Drosophila melanogaster: one gene and its partners. The protein of the gene in region 2 purifies or fractionates together with the protein of the main gene of each other region. This does not show direct contact. Each region holds a gene or a part of one and is shown on either strand. Other genes may lie near its edges. The genes, in order: CG10214, Ote, Hmgs and Flad1.

Evidence for each region.
Region 1: the proteins of Ote (region 2) and CG10214 purify together in Drosophila melanogaster (affinity purification with mass spectrometry, with the first as the bait; one large-scale study listed by BioGRID). This does not show direct contact.
Region 3: the proteins of Ote (region 2) and Hmgs purify together in Drosophila melanogaster (affinity purification with mass spectrometry, with the first as the bait; one large-scale study listed by BioGRID). This does not show direct contact.
Region 4: the proteins of Ote (region 2) and Flad1 purify together in Drosophila melanogaster (affinity purification with mass spectrometry, with the first as the bait; one large-scale study listed by BioGRID). This does not show direct contact.

Annotation. Positions count from the first base shown.
Region 1 is NT_033777.3:23,765,492-23,769,013, forward strand, and holds CG10214 (uncharacterized protein), read right to left. Parts: upstream 1,998-3,522; 5' UTR 1,908-1,997; coding exon 1,272-1,907; 3' UTR 1,033-1,271; downstream 1-1,032. Other genes in the region: Lsd-1 (lipid storage droplet-1), read left to right, coding at 21-205, 385-575, 639-816, 883-1,032; CG10375 (uncharacterized protein), read left to right, coding at 2,311-2,379, 2,518-2,838, 2,966-3,340. UniProt on the Drosophila melanogaster protein: 3'-to-5' exoribonuclease specific for small oligoribonucleotides.
Region 2 is NT_033778.4:18,274,991-18,279,380, forward strand, and holds Ote (otefin), read right to left. Parts: upstream 2,188-4,390; 5' UTR 2,090-2,187; coding exon 815-2,089; 3' UTR 617-814; downstream 1-616. Other genes in the region: pen-2 (presenilin enhancer), read left to right, coding at 2,631-2,691, 2,761-2,865, 2,940-3,079. UniProt on the Drosophila melanogaster protein: Inner nuclear membrane protein. Involved in the attachment of membrane vesicles to chromatin during nuclear assembly, and is probably required for centrosome maturation and cell cycle progression during mitosis.
Region 3 is NT_033778.4:16,333,925-16,341,742, reverse strand, and holds Hmgs (HMG coenzyme A synthase), read right to left. Parts: upstream 5,654-7,818; 5' UTR 4,880-5,653; intron 3,442-4,879; exon of another isoform or gene 3,307-3,441; intron 2,629-3,306; exon of another isoform or gene 2,546-2,628; intron 2,304-2,545; exon of another isoform or gene 2,297-2,303; 5' UTR 2,264-2,296; coding exon 866-2,263; 3' UTR 501-865; downstream 1-500. Other genes in the region: CG7997 (uncharacterized protein), read left to right, coding at 1-262, 322-353.
Region 4 is NC_004354.4:12,900,775-12,905,770, forward strand, and holds Flad1 (flavin adenine dinucleotide synthetase 1), read right to left. Parts: upstream 2,743-4,996; 5' UTR 2,567-2,742; coding exon 2,555-2,566; intron 2,389-2,554; exon of another isoform or gene 2,304-2,388; intron 2,193-2,303; coding exon 1,542-2,192; intron 1,078-1,541; coding exon 772-1,077; 3' UTR 579-771; downstream 1-578. Other genes in the region: Coq8 (coenzyme Q8), read right to left, coding at 1-181; CG4404 (uncharacterized protein), read right to left, coding at 3,503-4,260, 4,839-4,996.

The DNA of each region.
Region 1 (3,522 bases), on a different chromosome or scaffold from region 2:
TCCGAGTATCCGCCTTGCAGGCCCACAGGAGGATGATAACGAGGCCGTGCCGGACGAGAGGGGCGCCATCAAGGCGATCCATCATGGTCAACGCTTCTCCCGCAAACTGAAGCGCCGCCTTACCCAAAGAACCATCGCAGAGGCTCGCGCCCTCAAAAAGCAGAGCAAGGAGGCGATCCACGTGCTCTTCTATGCCGCAGAATTGGTCAGTAAAATTCAGTAACCTATTTGCTTTAATTTTTGAGTATCATTTGGTAAAAAAAAAAACCATAAGATTACAGTAACCAATTCAAATTACTTACGAAATGATTACGCAATGTCTGTTTGTATTCTGGTGTACAACCGTAACCCAAATAACACTTTTAAACGAAACCCATTCCACAGATTGCCACCGATCCCAAGCAGGCCGTTCAAAAGGCCAAGGAACTGTGGGTCTATCTCAGTGCAGATGAACCCGAAAATCAAGCGAGGCCCGCCACTCTGGAGCAGTTGATTGTGCTACTGACCCGCGAATCGGCTAGGCGTGTGGTTCATCTAGTGAACTTCAGTGCTCATGTGGCAGCCAACATACCCAGGTTGGTAGATCCCGCCTCCATCCTTATCTTTCCATGTGAACCCCTTCGAACCAAACCTTACAGAAACCTGGCGCACACGACAACAGAGGTTGCCCACCATATTATCTATATCAACCACCGCATCATCACAATCTCACGGCTGGACAAGGTTAAAACCATCTCCAAAGAGGAAGCTGAATCTCTTTTCAAGCGCATGCTGGCGTTCTATGGTAGCCTTCAGGGCCTGACCAATGCCTACCTGGTAAGAAAGGATGTGATACTAGCAGTCAGACGGAAGATGATTATATATATTAAATATATTCGACAGGAGCGCGTGGCCAGCTTTCTATCCGGACGCATGGAGGCCGAGAAGGTGACGGGCAGCGATGGCGGCAATTCCAACCACCGGTCATCGCGGAGGAGGCAGGATCCGAACCATTATTCAGCCACCCACAATAACATCAACGGCGTCTACTAGCATTGAATTCTTTATTGCTATCGTATTTTTATTTCTGTTTCTCCGTGCATATACGGAAAATACACTAAACGATATTGTACATCTATTTTTAACATAATGCATTTGTCAATAATATAAGCCTAACTTCACGCTTAACAATACAACGCGGACTTTTATCCAAAATTATTATAGACTCATATTGCCAATAAAGCATTAGGTATTGAAAGAATTCCTAGGGTGCTTTAAATTCTTGCTTTAATTTATTTAAATAAGTTCGCTTTGTAATACGCAAGCTCTTTGATGCTTTCTCGGATGTCGTCCAGACTACGATGCGTGAAAGATTTTTTGGGAGCGGAATCCAGAATTGCGGGATGCCATCGCTTGGCCAGTTCCTTGATGGTGGACACATCGACGATGCGGTAATGCAGGTAAGCATCTACCAATGGCATGAATTTCATAATGAATAGTCGGTCGGTGTAGACGGAGTTCCCACCAAGCGGACAGGCGCGCTTTGGTATGTTCTTCTCGAGATAGGATAGCACTAGATTGGAGGCTTCTTCGAGATTCACATCCGAGCTCTTGCATCGATCAATAAGACCTGAATTGTAATGATGTTTCATGCACCACTCGTTCATCGAGTCGTAGACCTCCTGCGGATGGTTGATGGCAAAGCATGGTCCCTCCGACTTCACGTTCAGGTCCTGGTCCGTAATGATGCAGGCCACCTCGAGGATTTTGTCCTTTTCAATGTCCAGCCCGGTCATCTCCAAGTCCATCCACACGATGTCCGTGTCTAAGCCACAGGTGCTGCTCATTCTGTCATTTGAATTGAATGCGATGTGGCTCCGAATTTGGCGGTTCAGGGACAATCCGACGCGTCGAAGGTGAGCAAGCATATATAGCTGTAGCGCAGGTTTCTTTTTGCTAAATGTAAATATGCGGCGGTTTTACCATGTGTTTGATAACATGGTATCGTTACGATAACAACTGGTCACACTACAGGCACATTGCCCAACACTGAAAGGGGGATTCCTGTCATTACAGGAACAAAACAAATCGAATATTATGTTCATACCCAAATAATTGCAGAATAATTTGTTCAGCATTCTTATTTGTATCCACCAAAGTCGAAAGTAATTGTAATTAAAGTTAAAGGTTTTATGCGATAACGACTTGGAGCCATTTTAACTACAGCGAACGGTAATTTCTAACAAACCGCGCACGGTCACTCTGTCGAGTTGATATTTTTATCAAAAATTGTTGTACGGAAAACGCAAAAGGTGTCGTTATTGTTGCAGCATGTCCTCCTCGTCGGCCAGAGACCAACCGGGAACCTCCCATGACAACTTCGAGGAATTCTACACAGAAGTAAGTGTGGCGGACGGAACCGCAGGCTCAGTTTTTATTCTACACTGGGTCGGGCTCCTTGCACGGCAGCCGCTCCAAATAAACTAAACCCTTGTTATTATGTACACTTTAGTAAATGATTTTGTGCCTATATTGCAGGTGAAAGAAATTGAAAAACGTGATTCAGTTTTAACTCCTTCTCAACAAATTGATCGTTTACTTCGTCCAGGTTCAACGTACTTCAATCTCAATCCGTTTGAGGTGCTCCAAATCGAGCCCGAGGTCGAATTGGCGGATATAAAAAAGCGATACCGCACCTTGTCAATCCTCGTCCATCCAGACAAGAATCCCGACAACCAGGAGCGCGCTCAAATGGCATTCGATATTGTGTCGCGTTCCTGGAAAATCCTCGAAAACGAACTCACGCGCAAAAGGTGTCTGGAGGTGTACGAGGAGGCAAAGGGGCGAACGGATCAAATGGTGAGTTCCAGTTCCTCGGAGCATTAAGCTCTATGATCGTCCGGCTTTAGAATAATTGAAAATCCAATTGCAATGGCACATTTTCTTTATTGTACTGTATTATATTAATTTGTTCGTTACCTTTCAGATTGCAGAAAAGCGTAAAAAGCTTAAAAAAGAGGGTCGGCCCACTGAGCCAATACCCGAGGACGATCCCACCAAGTACAAGCACGCCATCTACGTTATGGTCATGAAACTGTTTGCCGACATGGAGCGTCGACGGCAAAAGCTCGACCAACGCGACCAGGAGGAGCGAAAGCGAAAGCGCGAAACGGAAATCGAGGAGGAGGAGCGGATAAAGGCGGACCGCGAATGGCAGCAGAACTTCGAAGAGTCGCGCCAGAGCCGAGTAAACAGCTGGCATGACTTTCAGTCGGGTGCCGGCAAGTCCAAGAAAGCCAAGAAACAAAAACATATGACCGGCATGATGGTTCCACCAAAATTTAAGCCCGAGTCGCGATAATATAGCTTCCCAGCGCGGCGCCGCTCCTTCACTATCGCCAGATCACCTCCGCCAAACCGCGTCGCGTTGCACATGAATATTTTTACATTTTTTTTATAAGTATCCTTTGGAATTGTAATTGACACGTGCATAAAATATAGATGTAAGAAACACATTTCCGTCTTGCCTCTTTCCTTCTACAA
Region 2 (4,390 bases):
CAAGGAATCTGCCGCCTGGCTGTTCCATGCATTTGTGGAATTCATCATCGGCGGCGACTGGCGGTCGTGGCGGCCGTGGCAGCCGTGGCAGCAACATCCCCAGCACAACTGGCATTTCCCCCGAGCCACTGATGTTGCAATTTTCATAACTTATTGCTGGCATGCAAGTCAGACCCGGATCCGGTCGCGCTTGTTACCGCTAAATATGGCGCGAAATTTCCTTAAGAAAATAAAGAAATACGCGCAAGTGCGATTTCCAGTTAATAAAATTAAACAGCCCAACTCGGGCAAGGATTTTAAAATAACGCACACCGGCCGCCGAGCCGACTTGTAAAATTCTTATTAATTCTGATTGCAAGGCATTGCAAGGATCGCAGATCAGATCGCAGCAGGAACAATTTAGCTCAGATAAGAGCTGCGCTTGCCTGGTTGCCATTGCGCCTACATTTGGTCAGAGTCATGCCGACAAGTGTTGTACACGCATTCCAGATACTTTTCCATCATTAGCCGATCGTCGTTTGCTGCTGTTTCTTGATCCAATCTGGGCAAACACCTGCCACAAGTGGAGCGCAGTGAATCGAAAGCCGTTTGGAGAAAAAACATCAGAGCAAGTGTTCAACTGTGGAGATTCCCTGCAAGTGGGCTTTATTTGAACACGGATAACACGCAGCTTAAATGCTAGTCAAACTCAAGCTCAAGTTACATCAAAACAAGATTCATACAAAGACCGCGGCGGCAGTCTTGTTTACAAAACATATCCAACATGGTATACAAACTAGATTACAAATTCGAAATAAGAACAATGATGCGCCGGTCAGTAGAATATGTAATAAACGCCGATTAACAAAAGGACGAGGAGTACAATGAACAGCTTCGACTTGATGTGATACTTCTGCTCCAGGCTGTTCAACCAACGGTTAAAGGCCTCGGATACGCTGTTATCATTCGGGCGCAAGGAGCGCCTGGCACGCGGCTCATAGCCGAGAGAACCGCTACCCGCGTTTCCACTGGCCAGAGTGCGTCTGGAATACGGGCTGATGCGATCTCCAATCCGTTCGGCTCGCAAACGAGCTAGATTCCTGGCAAATGTGCTTTCGTACTGGTCTTCCTTGGAATCAGTGTCGTCGCTCAGCTCGTTAGCATAGGTACGCTTGTAGCTGGATGAGTAGGAGGCCACCGGCGGAGCCTCTGCAGTCACATAGCCTTGGGCTGCAGTACGCACAAAACTGCTATAGCGACCGGGTGCTGGGTTGCTCGCATAGTCATAGGACCTGGTGGAACTGGTGGTCTGCGCTCTGGCAGATGGCACAGATGGCGGCAGCACGGGAGCTGCTGTCGCTTCATAGACCTGTCGGCGTGGAGGCTCCACAACCTTGCTTTTGTACTCGTACGTAGTGGTGCCGCTGCTTGCGAGCTTCGTGGTCTTCTGTCTGGCCGCGTGCTCCTGCTCCACCAGATCTGCAGCCTGGACTAGCTGCTCGTCCTCTTCTTCATCGGACTCTAGGACAATCAGGGAGTTGACCTTAAGATAATTCTCCTCTCGATCAGCGCGCTTCGAGGAAGCCGGTTGCTCAACAATGGTTTCTGGCTTCCTCAAGGGCTCCACTACTTTCCTTTCAGACCCCGAGGAGGTGGAAGTGCGCCGGGTCTGTACGGGTTGAGCAGCAGGAGCAGTTGTTGGCTTCCTGGCGGCAACGGGCTCCTCGGATCGTAGGCGGTCGGCTTCGTCGGGGCGTCGGCGTATAGCTTCCTCGGGTAATCGACGCACTGGTTCCTTGGCCTCTGCAGCGGTAATTGTGCGCCGAGCCTTTGTGGCGGGCGCCACCTTGTTGCCATCCAGCTTGTCCACCGGCGTGGAGGCTGCCGCCGGAGCAGATGGTGCACCAGGTGCGGGAGCCAGGGTCTCCCGCCTGTTGGTCTTCTTGGGACTAGCGGCCGGCGACGCCTGGCCACCAATGGAGGCGCGCAGACGCTTTACTAGAACCTTCCGGCTGCTATCCGTCACGGGGATGTTGGGCAGCCCCTGTGCCAGCATCTTGGCGCGCAACTCAGCATTGGACAGAGAATCAAAATCGTCCACATCGGCCATTGTATGGTTTTTCGCACACTTTTAATAATTCGTTGAAAATTGAAATCGGCGTCGCTTTTACGCGGTGTGTGCTAAAATAGTGATGGCAGCAGTATTACCTATCGATGATTCTGTTTTAGGGGATATACAACACTGAAGTGGGCTTGACTTGTAACAGTTTTGGCGTTTTAAAAAAAGGGAACACAAGGAATGATGTTTCATACTAATCATCGCACACATCGCAAAATCGTGCAAACGTAATAAAACATCTATGCTATATTATTATATCGTTATTTACGTTAGATATTGGCAAATGAAACAGTGATCCAAGAGTCGCAGTTTAGCTCACCTCTGTTTCGATAACTTATCGATATCGATTGCGCTCCAATGGACTAAAAACTAAAACACAAATCAACAAAAGCAAAAATTGAAGTGAAAATATAAGCTATTACAATTTACATATTACATACAATTTACATATAAGTACGAAAAAACTTTCCTGGGCCGGAAACAGATTCGAAAACAAAGGAGCAAACACCCACATATTTGAAGAGGATTAATCATGGACATCTCAAAGGCACCAAATCCGCGAAAACTGGAGCTGTGTCGCAAATACTTCTTTGGTAAGAGTTACTACCAATGAGTAATGATTGGATTTTAACCAAGTTACTTTCTATTTGTCTCGAACTTAGCTGGCTTTGCATTTCTGCCCTTTGTGTGGGCCATTAACGTTTGCTGGTTTTTCACGGAGGCCTTCCATAAGCCACCATTTTCGGAGCAGAGCCAAATAAAGAGATGTAAGTCAATATATGAATAGATGCCCATGCCATACAGTCTAATATTCCACAATTTCTTTCCTACCTTCCTCCAGATGTTATATACTCTGCAGTGGGGACTCTATTCTGGCTGATAGTACTAACTGCCTGGATAATAATATTCCAGACAAATCGCACAGCCTGGGGCGCCACAGCGGACTATATGAGCTTCATCATACCCCTAGGCAGTGCATAGACATAACTAGATTAATTCGTTAGCAACTAATGATATTAAAAAAGACTTCATTCCTAAACAAAATTAACGTTTATTATTAATCCATCAGAAGTTCCCGTATATGACCCAAACAAAAGAAGTGCTGTTTTGATTTAATTACATATTTTTTATTCACATCTAAAGCTGTTTTTGTTTTTTATAATTTTCTGTATACTTTAAATATGTGTACTATATTTTGTTGAAATTTCTTAGCCGCTAGTTATGTGTTTTGTTCATATTCGTCCGCCCATATTTGAATGCTTGATTTAGCTTTAGTTAGCCATTTTGTGGATTACATTCTTTGCTTAGATACAATTTCATTGTTTCGAATTCAATTCAATGCGCTTTATCCATCTCTAAAATACATAATTTGTATAAAACTCTGCTTGTACCGTTGCATAAGCCATTATGGTAATTTGTTAAATCCCATTTAATTGTTTTGTTATGTTGTGTGTTTGTATCCGTGAGTCGAATGCCTCCTACGATTTGATTACAAATTGCATTAAGAATGTCAAAAAACCTAGCGACTCCTAAATGAGTGTAAGGAAAACACTCGCCGATCTACACATGAAGACATAATTCAAATTGCTATTATTCGGTAAATCGCTTGCATTTCGTTTGCGGTTAACAGCAAATGCTGCCAACACATATAGTAAATTACAATATTATGTATTAATGTTTATAACACGAACTTGGTGGCAAAGCACCTAAGCAGGGCCACCAAATCAATCAGTGGAACTAATTTACAATACAAAAGACTCGCTTTAAGGTATATTTACAATCAATACTTGTTTTATTTATAAATTCTAAAGAATCAATGTGTATTTGGGATAGGAAGCGGGATTTTTGAGGGCCAGATGGGAGCTTTCTCATTCAGTTTTTCTTTTTTTTTGGGCTTAGGCTACAGAACATTAAGTGCCATAAATCACGCGTGTAGAGTCTATGAAGCGGCTAGTGAATTACTACACACCCACATTCACATAGATAATCCTTTAATTACATATATATCTCGCCATCGTTATCATATCATATATGCAGCATATGCGTATAAATATTTAAAGTACAAATTGATGCTTAGAAACAATTAAAATTAATGTGCGGCTGCTGGCCGAAAAATTCATCGTAGTCATTCACGGAGAACTTATAAAGTAGAAACTACGGATACGAGTAGTACACACACAGATATAGATTTAGATACACATAATATATATTTATATTTATAAGAATTGAATGGGCGGCGCGCCCAATTTGTCTTTTAGATGCAAATCCCGCGCAGCTCCATCCGCAACACAG
Region 3 (7,818 bases), 1.9 Mb from region 2:
GGGCGCCGTGTTTTGTCCCGCAACCAAATCGAAGTCTGGAAGCGTCCCATTACGCCAGTAACCAAGAGTGGACATCACTCCTATGCTGTCGCCTTTGTCAGTCGCCGAGATGATGGCGCTCCCTACAGGATCCCCTTCACGGTCAAGGAGCTCGGATTGACGAATCCCAAGGGTTATAATGTGCAGGATCTGTACGATGCCAGCAGCAAGTTGGGCGTCTTCCAGTCTGAGAGTCAGTTCATCACACGCGTCAATCCCAATGGTAAAATCCGTTGCAAAACACTAACTAGCCCTGACTTACTTCATTTTCCCCTCCCCCAGGCGTAACTTTCTACAAGTTTACAGCGTTGTAAGCCCAAGATATGCAAATCAGCCGCTGCCATCAAATCGAATATGCTCTTATATACACACTATTTCCACATTGTCCATTGACGTTGCATCGATGATCTGTGTAATAAGTTAATTCCGACAATAAATACCAGGTAATCACTGAAGAGTTTGACTTTGTTGATTTTTATTGTTTATTAAACAATTGATTGTGTGCATTACACACAGGTATAAGTATTGTACAATTATAGGCATAGATTGCAGTACCGACGCTAGTTAAGACTTGTTCCATGATATAAATAAGGTCTGACTGGATGAAAGAGTTAATTCGCAAGCTTGTATAAATAAGAAGTGTAGTACTATATACGCGACAAGGACCCGAATAAGAGCAAAAAGGATAGCGACCCCTCGGGATCATACCAGTTATAAATAGATACCATCTACAGCTACTGCTTACATGGGTTTGGTCGAGAGAGTTAGAGTTATTGTCAAGTTGTAGGCGAAACCGAAACCAAACCGAAGGAACCATAGCCCGGGGTTAGTGCACCCCATTGCTGATGGTCGGTGTGCGCTCGTAGGTGCGTCTATGCAGCGCATCCACGTCCTTCAGGTAGTAGGTGCCGGGAAACAGTGCGGAGATGCTGCCCGTTGGCGTGTAGGGCGCCGCATGGTTGTTCTTCTCCCGCACCTCCATCAGCGCGGAGAACTGCTCGGGCGCAACCTTCTCCCGTGAATTCAGCAACGGCTGCACGTAGTCCAGCTGCGAGACGAACTTTTCGAAAGCAGCTGCATCCTGGGTCACGCTGATCGAGTACATGGAAGCAGCCAGTCCGGATCCGTAGGAGAACAAACCAATGCGCTTTCCCACCAGCTCCTGGGCTGGTCCGCTAATCAACAGAGACACCAAACCGGAGTACACCGAGGGTGTGTACATATTGCCCACTTGGTTGGCCAGCAGCAGCGATTTCTTGGTCTTGCTGGCAAAGATGTTGGCGGACTGCGTCATGAAGGCCTTCTCCACATCGCGATCAAAGTAGGTGCTCTCCAGGGTAGCGGTATTAAAACGTTCCAGGTCGGGAAACTGCTTCGTTCGCTCCTCCTCACTGCTCAGCAGGAAATCGTTGAAGCTCAGGCGACCCACAGATTTTTGCACCAACTTGCAGAACGGTGTGTGGAATAGGATAGCATCGAAGGTGCTCAGGCTGGCCGGCTGCTTGGAAGTATCCTTCTGCTGCTGGTCGAACTTCTTGCGATACAGCCTGTAGCAGGTGTCCAGAGCAGAAAGGTAGCACTGAATAGAGAGCTTTCCATCTACCGTTGGGTATTCGGAGCTGAGGTCCGGCTTGTAAAAGTCGTAGGCGTGCTCCATGTGCGTTGCGCGTAGTCCACGATCGAGGATAAGCGGCGCATTTGGACCCACCAGCATAGCCACAGCACCCGCACCACCAGTTGGGCGCGCTGCACCCTTGGCGTACACGGCGATATCAGCACAAACGGCCAAAGCCAGGCGGCCGTCCCAGCTAGAAGATTCCACCCAATTGACGGCATTGAAGAGCGCCGCCGTGCCGCCGTAACAGGCGTTCGTGGTGTCGATGCCCTCGATGTCCGTGTTCCCGCTCTCGGCGAACAGCTGCATCAGCACGGACTTCACCGACTTCGACTTGTCCACAATGGTCTCGGTGCCCACCTCCAGTCGTCCGATCTCCGAGTGCTTCACATGTTGCCGCTCCAGCAGGCGGCTCACAACCGTCAGGCAGAGAGAGTTGACATCCTCGCGGTCCGAGCAGAAGCCCATCTTGGCCTGGCCCAGGCCAATTGTGTACTTGCCCGCGGAGGCACCATCGAAGGTCTCCAGCTCCGTTTGGTCCACGTACTGGGAGGGGAAGAGAATCTCGATGGCGCGTATGCCAACGTTCTCGGGCCAGTGGGATGCCATGATTGTATCCGGTTATCTATTTAATCCTGAGCTCTGTAAGAGAGACAATTTGTATACTTTTAGTGGGAGCTTTGGCATGAGAGTAAATATTTAATTCAATATCTTTGTTATTAACAACTATAACAATCACTATTTGCGTTTCGAAATTGCTTCATGATGTTGGGAGCTAAGGCCTTGTTTAATTTAATTTAAGCAGAGTTCTCGATGTGGCCCGAATTCCACTGCCAATTGGCATTGGGAAACTTTCTCCCCGCGCAATCACGGCGTATTTATAATGCTTACAAATTGGACGAGGGCAGAGACAACCTGTTGCACGCTCGAGCTGCGTTGGACGTGTGTAAGCCAGTGACTTTGGCTGCGGCTGAAGAAGTCATCAAAGTCTGCCAGCCAGAGGCCCCCGTCTTGGGGGCCAACTGATTTCCCTGGCTGAGAAACTGAGCGTGTAGAGAGAGAGAGAGAGAGGGAGAGAGAGCCGCCGGAGCGGAGAAAGTTTCCCCCGCTCAGGCGAGCTCCACAAAAGAGAACACTAAACCGCTGTGAAGTAAGCCAAAACACACGCATCGCAATAAATGTAAGCCAACAAGACAAGCCCAAAGAGCCAAAGGGACAGGGGCGTGGATGCTGTGGCTACACGCAGAGAATTTATGATTACATTTATTTACAATAGATAATCATTTCTTTTAAACTTTTTTTGTCAGAGAACAAGCTACAAAAATGATTACTTTAACACAATAACTCTTTTTTCAAAACCGCTTCCCCTGAAACTTCTCTACATTTTCACACATTTTAATTTCAGTTAGGCGCAAATTATAATTAAATCAAAATGATGATCGAAATATTATGATTTCCTATCGAAATAGAATGGAATTTTGCTCGGTGGAGCATTGTGGGACAGGCTGGGAGCGTCTTCACCCATAAGTGGGTCATGCCCACCAAGCACTAAGCACCAACCACCACTCTCCCTCAATCACACGCGTCCATATTGTATAACCGATAAGAGGTGCGAGTGTGGCCCAAACCCGAAAAGCGGTTGACATATTTACCGTTACGTTTAGCACCTGCGACTACTGGCCTATTGACTATAGATTTTCACTTTTCGGCCCGGAACTTTGTGGATTTGTGAAAAAAGGCTGGGTAGCGCGAAGCTCACTCGATCGGATCTCTCCGCGGACTGACGGCACTGGAGGCGCTGCACTGGCATATGAATATGACCATGACGACGGAATTGGCAGTGGAGAAGCAGACACCTAGCCAACGAAGCCACCTAGCCACCGAGCAAACACAGAGGCGAGAATAGGCGCTGTAAGTCAATGCCAATTGCTGAAAGCGCTCGGCGAACAAATAGCGATCGTGCATAATTACGGGAAATATTTATCGCTTAGATACGGCCAGCGAGCACGAAACACAATCGTCGGGGACTAAGAAGCCGCCAGACTATATAGATATGCACATCGATAGTCGTGGCCTTTTGCGATGGGGTAAAGATCAAAGGCTGTCCATCGCTGATAAGGCCGAAACAAAGCGGCTTCCTTAAAAATGCCACCGAATAAGATGTGACACTCTGTCCATTTCAGTGACAAAAACTGGGAAGTGACTTCCAATAGCTTTTCTCCGATTAATTACTTAAGACGTGCCCTTAGGAATTATTAATAGAAAATTATTTATAATTTGAGTTCTACTAATTTTCCTACTGGTATAACTTAAATTGGATTATCATCTTTTCTGAACACTATCTTGAAACGTGATTTCAAATCACCTGAACACAATTGGTAATTGATAAAATATTCTACAGAAATCACTTAAAGTAAGATAATAACAAGACTACTTTAAGTAGTTGTGATATTACTTGAGTCGTACTTAAGTTAATTAATACAGTTTAGTTAAAGTAAGTAAAATTAACAAATAAGAGAATACTTTGTCCTATTGTGCAAAAGAGTATGAATCATTATCCAAAGTCATGAAACTCTAATTTCAAGCAATTTAAGTGATTTAAGTCATTAATTCCTCGAGTGCCTGCGTGGAATACAGCTCACCCGGTGTTCCTAAGCAGCCCGTGGATTTAAGAATGGAAATTGATGCGCTGTTTATGCGGAAAAGGAGTCATCGAAGGGAAGGGAACGGGGCACTGTTGTGGTTTTGTGGGCTTATTTTTAGCACTTCGGAATTGGGAAATATTTGAATAAACATTTCCTGGAACTGCTGCGCACTTGGCTAATTGATTGCTCTTGAGTCATTCTTTTCTTTTTCGGCTGCAGGAGGGTGCGGAGGTGGAGGAGGAGGAGGAGGAGGAGGTCAAAGGTCGGGATGTTCCCGATAGAAATACACGTGTATTTGAGAGCCGGGAGATAAGCATAGTTTAGGGGTCAGGATTATGAAACTGATCTATGAGGTGACACATATCACTGGATGTTGATAATTTTTAAATCTACACTATTACACACGGCTGGAAAAACACTGTGAAACAGCTTTTCCCAATTTACAATAACCAATTCTAATTGCACACATATTATGTTCCTCCGACTTCTGGTTACATCAGCGCCCAAACTGACCACCTGCCACGCCCACAGCCCTCATCCAGCGCAGCACGAACAGTACTCGCACTCGCAATCAACTTACTTGCTAATATTAATGGTCCAGGGCGGGCGATATGTTTTAAACTAAACTAATCTGGAATAAAATTAAGCAATGAAACTGCGGCACCTTAGCCGCAGGCAGTGTTGGAGAGCGCGCGGCGCTGGAACAGCTGCTGGCGGAGTCAGCTGTTTGGCTCGCTGGCTAAGCAACACTGGCGCCATCACGTGAATCTCGTGGGCATTGTGAACTGTCACTTTTTTCGCCAGCGCTTTTCTCACCACACAATTTCGTTCGCATTTGTGGGTGGCGGCGGTCGATTTGCGCTGATTTTTTGGCAAAGAAAAACGCACTTGCTGTTTTCAAATAGCACAAAAAGCACACCTGCTTCGTTTACAATCAACCATATTCGCTGAAAAGTAAGTGCCAACCGTAAGAAATAGTTAATTCGGCGGGTTTTCCACGTCGCCGTGAAAAGTGCAAAAGTTACCCCCCGCCGAAAAAAAAGACCGATTACTACATCGCAGTAGGTCTGCTGACCAGGAAAAGTGCGCAAATCTCTTGTAGATTATTGAAGATAGTGAGAAAATTAGTTTTTGCAATGTGGCTATGATTTTTTGTCGAAGCAGTGTGACCCTGAAAAAAAGAGTTCGCCAGTTTGTTGCGTTTCGTTCGACGGCAGATTGCCGCGAGGTCTGCGGATGTATCTGGAAATATCCAGCTGATGATCGTGTGGGCTGGGGGCGGGGAGTCGGGAAAATGTGCGAAAAGTGTTTTGGTTTTTGTGCTTAAATGAAAAACCCGTGAGCAGCGGAAAATTATCGATCGAAAAACTGTCATGTGACTGTCAACGAACAGCTGACATTGCGAGAGCAACTCACCACAGCGAGTGGTGAAAAGAGCGCAATAGGCGCTTTGAAAATTGAAAGAGAACACAAAATTCTCTTTCGCTCTTTGGGTAAACAAAAAAAGTTGGAAAATGTTGTTTAAAAATTGAAATACTTTTCGGTTATTTTGCCATAAGGCACGTATTTCGCTGATTAATAGATCGTGTTGTGCGAAAACAAGCAAATACACTTTGATGCGCTGCACGAGGATTAATAAATAATCGTATTGCGTGCAACAAGGACCTTGATGAAAACCAAGCACATATTATACATGATATATATACTCTACGAAACTGTAGGCAAAACTCAAACACGGCCAATAAGGCGGAAATTCAAATGGCCAAACAGCTGCTGGAATTCCAGCGCGTGCTTATCTGTATGTCTGTGTGCAAGGTCTCCCGAGCCACCCACTTTCACCAAGCCGGTGCCAGCCACCCACCCACATTCCACCCCCCGGCAAGCACATTATTATTAATTAATTTGGGCGCACACCCACTGCGGCGAGGATATCGTCAAAACTTTGTTTTCCTCCTTTGTTCCATTTTTTATTGTCTTTTGTTTTCGTCGCTGCAATTTCCTGTATTGGATTTGGACTACCCCAACTGGATGTGTATCTAGATTTGGATATGGGTATGGGCTTGGAATCGGGATATGGATTAGGACCTGGACCCCAGGCCCTCTCCATTAGCGCCAGCCGTTGGCCAGTCAGACTGTCTCCATTCGCCTGGCGACGCGTTGGCTGGAGCCCTCCGCTCATCGTCCCTCTGTCCTTTATCCTCGCATTTCCCTTGGACTCGGTCCAATCCACGTCATCAGTTCAACATGAACATGGCAGCATAACAGTCGGTAACTCCTGCTCGTCGTCCTCCCTATCTATCCATATATCTAACTATATCTCTATATGTGCTTCCCTTTTGGCCCGCAGCAACTTGACTTTCGTTGCTAAAAATAAACATACGTACGTAGTTGTGCACTGGAAACAAAACGTGCTAAGTTCTCTGTCATTGCTATTCTGCAAGTCACATTATGGAGTATATCAAGCATATGTTACAGCCTAAACATGAGTGGTTAATTATCATGAGCTACATTCCGCCATTAGATCATTACACACAGCCATTACTAAAATCTGAACTTTTATATCTAGATAAATTAGATAATAACATTCACATATCAATTTCGTATCATTTTACATGTCATGAATCATAATATGGAGATTCAGTTTGAAAAGCATGTGGACGTTTGATTCCGCTGAAAAGGATATATTGAAAAATATATATACTTATACAATAATGTTTATCTGCGATTTGAGCATATATGTAAATATATTTTTAATACATGTACCAAGTGATCTTGCAAAAATGAACTTCTAATTTGACTGATCACCTGGTTATGTCATTCTTAACCTTCATTTAGATGCCAAATTATATTTTATAGCCTCGGGTGATATTTTTTCTTTGCGTGTTTCCGTATCCCACTTACCACCATTCCTCGTTGTCTGTTGCCAGGATTGTTGCTGTTGTCACTCCCGCCCCCTCCAGTTGTTGTCCTTGTTGCTACTCCCGACACTTCCTGGGCGAGGACAATGCACTGCCTTGACTTTTGATGGGGCAGGAGGAGGAAGGCGGATCTGGAGACGGAGCCGGGGAGCTGGGCTGTTGTCACTCCTTGGGCTCATGTTTTGTTTTCGTGTCTCTTTGTGAAGGCCATCATGGTGGTTATGTAATAACAGTGCCGACCATAGGCCGAAATTGGGTAAAGTTAGATTTATATCTCGTGGCGTTTGCTGTGTGATTACTCATACGCCCTGTGGCAGGAGCAAACAGAGTAGTAGCGACGCTAGGAGTCAGCGACACTTGCCCAAATTGAGCACTCGTTTTGGTTTTGGGCCATGGCGCCTTTTTCCTTTCCTGCCTTCCGTGCCCTTCGTGCGGCTTCGTCATCACAACCGGACGGATTCGTGTTCGGCTGACGAACCGGATCGCAGATACTTCGGCCGTTGGCTTTTTCGACTTCCATGGCATCTGGTCGTTAGGCCAGCCGTTCATTCGGCAACGAACCCCCGACATAGAAGCACGTCAGCATGTGGCACAACCGGAG
Region 4 (4,996 bases), on a different chromosome or scaffold from region 2:
GATTTTGACTGGAACTTCTCACCAGCTGCTGTGTGTGCGCCACATTCTCGGCGATTAGCTCACGAATGCTTGAATTGCTCCACAGATGACGACCGTGGGCGAGATGCTCGCGCCCACACGCCTCCAACAAGATCCGCAGTCCCCGCAGCAGCGCCGCAGCTTCTTGTGCGGATCGCGACATCGCGGAGCGAGGAAATACTGGTTTATTGTGCACTGCTCTCGCGTGGGTGATTCGCTGGTGATGATCGGCGCGTAGGATTACGTAAATCTCGTAAAAATATCACAGCAAAAAAAGTTCAAAGAATCGCGTAATGTTGTGAAAATGCGGCGAAAATCAGCTGGCAAAACAGCTGACTGGCCATCTAGTGCTGCCATGCTGGCGTTTTAACAGTGGCACCATGGCATCTTGAGCTTTTTCTAGCTTTTAAAAGCCAGCTTGCTGCAGCACTAGATTTTGCACTGAAGCCAGTGCTGTTTCTTTGGCTCTTTTAGCTTGCTTCAGCTTTTATGCAAAATTAGAAAGAAACATTCAACAACTAAACAACTAAAAATTTAAATACTCCATAAAAACTAGGAATACTGCTTAAGTGGCCTGCTAACAGAGGCCACATTTATTCAGCGGCATACCTTAGGTCGTACAAAATTTTACTAAATTAAGTTTGTTTACCGAAATCCAGATCACACGTTAATATATATACACAGCTATATAAAGTTTCGTGACTAACTGGAGTTTAAGCTATTCAATTACACTATAGCCACGCAAATGGAATCCTACTTCCTGGGCAGGCGACCAGCACGCTCCATGGTGGCATCCTGGAGCTCCCAGGCGGGCCGATAGCCACCCAGATCGCAGGAGCAGACGGCATCGGAATTAGAACCACATTCACACTCGGCATCGGTGCGTCGGAGGTGCGGATTAGGCACTGTGTTCGCACGATTCCCGATCGAGGTGTAGCCCCGATCGTACAGGCTGCAATAGGGCACCGAGTTCAAGTGGATGTAGTGCCAGACGTCGTGGTAGCTCCACTCCAGCAGCGGATTCAGGCGCATCATCGGCGGCCAGTCGTTGTCCGTGGGCTAAAAAAAAAATCGAAATTAGCATCACTAGGCACTTGGGGTTTCCTAATAGGAAACAGCAGTTTCGAACTTTCCAAAACTATTTCAAGCTAGCTTCATTATTATCTTTGTGATCTTGTGAGATTTTCAAATAAGCGGGATACATTTGGTTTTGTAAAATACTCGAATAAATTCTATGTTAGGTGGTGAACCACAGAACTCGCTTATCTGCGGAATGGAATCATGACATTCGAAAATGCCACTGTCACTGTGATATTGGCAAAGGGCACATACTTTTCTAGATTAACAATGGCATAATTTTGATACTAAGGCTGTGACTTTGATAACTTGGCTTTATAATCAATCTACTACTCTTGAGAAAGAAACTTTTCTTCACACTTGAACCTACGAACTCCTGAGCATTTCAGTGCAAAACATTTAAATATGATTTATCTCCTGATTGCTATATTCCTAACCAGCTTCACCTGCATGGGCGCCAGATGCTGGCAGTAGGGATCCGTGTTGCGGCTGCCCACGAAGACGGCCTTGATCCGCGGCATGTCCGACGACATGTGGGTGAGTGCCTCCTTGAGCGTACCCTCGTACTGAACCAACTGGACGCGGTAGTTGCGTACGCAACGCTCGACGAACTCATCGATTTCCGGAAACGAATCGCCGGATTTAATGTACAGCATGGGAATGTCGCCGCTGGAGATGTTCTCCTGGCGCAGGTAACGCATAAGGAGATCGAGCAGCACGGTGCAATCCTTGCCGCCGTTGAAACAGAAAATTAGCTCCTCGACGCCGTAGATTTGCAGGGTTTCGGCGAAGAAGGCGAACGCTTTATTTTGCCGCTCCTCAATGGCCAGTCGATCCTCGGCTGTTAGTTCCATTGGATTTGATATATCCTGTCCCTTTGCCACATCCTTGGAGTTCTCCGAACGATCCGACATGCTCCGTTTCTCTAGAAACAAATGCTTTTTGCTAATGCTCTTTGCGCATAGAATGCTGTTGTTCGCTGTAATGTTTGTGATGTTTGTGATGTTCTTCCGGCATTCGTTCATGGTGCTCAGTGGGCGTAATGTTTGTGGGAGGCGTGGCCGTGCCCTGGCTAGCAAAAACGATGACGTCACACGCTGTTAAAGTCAAAAGAGCAACTATTAGCACTCAATAAATAAAACATAAAAAAAACTTTCGCCGAAAAATATCTTTTTTTTGCGTGTGTGTGTGTGTGTGTAAGTATTTACTTTATGTAATTTTCTAGGCCCATAAACAAACTTTAACTGTGCGATGAGCGTGGTAAATGCTTCGGCGGTTGACGTGCGAGTGAGTTGGCTTATTTGTGGCCAGCCAAAAATTACATCACTTTCGTATCGGAAAAGTCAGCAAAAACAAAAAAAAAGTGATATAAAGCCAAAACCTCAGGCCCTCACACGCACACGCACACACACGCATGCAGGCCAAACACATGGCGCACGCACACACGCGCATAGCTCACCCAATAGCTCATGTGTTTCGTTGCTGCATCGACTGTTTACTGGCGCACATTTAACTGATGAGTTACGGCGACAGCAATGCAATTATTCCATTTTGTTAATTGTTATTCCGCGCCAGTGATTTTCCTTCCTTTTTTCGTCTTTTTAGTGCAACAACAAGCGAACGGCGACAACAACAACAACAAAGCCAGGAAGCTTTGCGTACTATCGGTGCATCAGCTGTGCGCTGAATCTATCGATTGCACTCGATTAAGGCGGTTGGCTAGCTAGAAATTCAAAAAAAAAGCTAGAAATTTATACATTAAATAATTTTGAAAGTTTCGTTTTGATTTTAATCCGCAATTTCGCATATCGCCAGCAAATGCGACATATATACGCAAATTTTGTTTCTGTTCCGTCTGAAGTAAAATAAAATGTTCGTAGTTTAAATGTTTTATTCGACAATAACAAATTCGTGTTTGTGTGTGTGCTTAACAACAACAATAAAAAGCGTAATTAAAGTACGCTCTACACATCTAATAAATGGGCACTGTTGGCGTTTTCTATCAACTGGGTGTGTTTTCTTCGATTCTTGTGGCTTTTTTTCTTCACGGAGAGAAAATATCACATAACTGGTGATTTCATCCTGTTCCACTGGGCGCTTTACAAATTTCGATGCAGTGCATATAAACTTCGATATAAATTTCATGTACGTTCACACTTAACTTAGACATAAATATTTAAAAACTAAGTTCATTGTCTAAAAGTTAGCAATATGATGGCCAGAATGAAATCTGAAAGTGGTGAAAATGTTGGTTTTGAAATAATGTTGCATTTGGTATGTAGAATATTTCCGCACAATCATTCAAAATATGCATCTCTTGTGTGTGGTAATTTTGATAGAGCCGTTTACAAATCGTAATTTTCATCGCTGAAACGTAAGCATCTTCGGTTTTTTTTCCGTGTACAAATTAGACATCCTTGTTATCCAGAATATCGTCGATGAGTCCGACGACCTTCTGTCGAAACTTTCGATTCTGCTTGCCGTTCATCTCCTTGATGTACGGATGCAGGCTGATCAGAAAGGAGTAGTCGGCATCCGGTTGTGAGCCACCTCCTCCTGGTCCGCCAGTGAAAACACTTAGAGCTGACGTAGCCGGCTGCGGCGGCGGTGGTGGTGATGTTGGTGTTGTTGTTGTTGTGGTTAACTTGTGATGACCGCTGCCATGTCCCTTGAACCACTGCGTCAGATCCGACCAGCCCAGGTGATTGCCCAGCGCGGCGGCGGGCACCGAGACCAGCGACTGCTGGCTCACCATCCGCTCCAGCTGCTGGTTCGCATTTGACGAATCGTGCTCCACTTTGATGGAATGCAGGCGGAGCGGCAAACAGGCGGTGGGTTGCTCCCGATCCTGTTCCTGATTACGACGATGCTCCTCCTCGGACACCTGAACGTCCAGCGGCATCTCACCATCGCTCACCTTGGCCTCCTCCTCCGCCGCCACCACCTCATCTTCCTGCTGAGCAGTGGCAGCTTGGCCGGGTTTGCGGAGCACCATGCCCGGCAGCTGCTTGTGGCAGGATCGCGACTTGGTGAACGGAACGAGAAACTGAAGATACTTCGATAGGTAGTATTTGCGCTTGCCGCGTCCCGTTTGTGTGCGTGCCAGCTTCAGGGATCGCAGGAAGCTGCTCCTTATGGTGCGCCATCGCTCGCGACAGTTGCGAACTGCAGGAGAAACAAAACACATCTTTTACAGTACAAATTTCTACGGTACAAATTGAAACTTGTTCACCAAAAGGTAACCACAGTACTGAGTTGATTTGCACATCAAACTCAATTCTTGGATTTATACTTGTTTGTAACATGGAATATTTTGTAGTTTAAATACTTTTATTTTGTATTTATTTTGAATTTATTATGGGAATTTAGTTGTACGAATAGTACTTGGTTTTTTTCCAGTGCACCTTGGCTGAGTGCAGCAACAGTAAACGAAAAGCGAAACGCAAAAGCAGCAACAAATTGCAGGCAAAAACTGCGCGACACAGTGACACACCTACACCAATGCAAAGCCAGGCAAATGGAAAACAACAACAAGTGCATTCGTTTCGCACACCAATTCGCGAAAGCTTGCATCATAGACACACACACGCACAGACACACACACACACACACAGGCGCGCGCGCACACGGACAGTGAAATGAGCACGCAATTGGCGGCGAAGAAGAAGAAGAGGAAGAAGCAGCAGCTTGAGGCGGAAAATCGCCGTTGCCTTTTGCCGATTTATTTTTTACCGCCTTTTTACCCGTGTCCTTGATATCGTTGGCAACCTGCTGCCACGCCCTCTGCACATCCTCCTTCTTGCTGTAGCCCGGATGCGTGTAGTTCCACAGGCACGGCTGATTCTCCACGAACTGCACGAACCGCACATTGAAAACGGGATCGTCCTTGCGCGCCATTGCG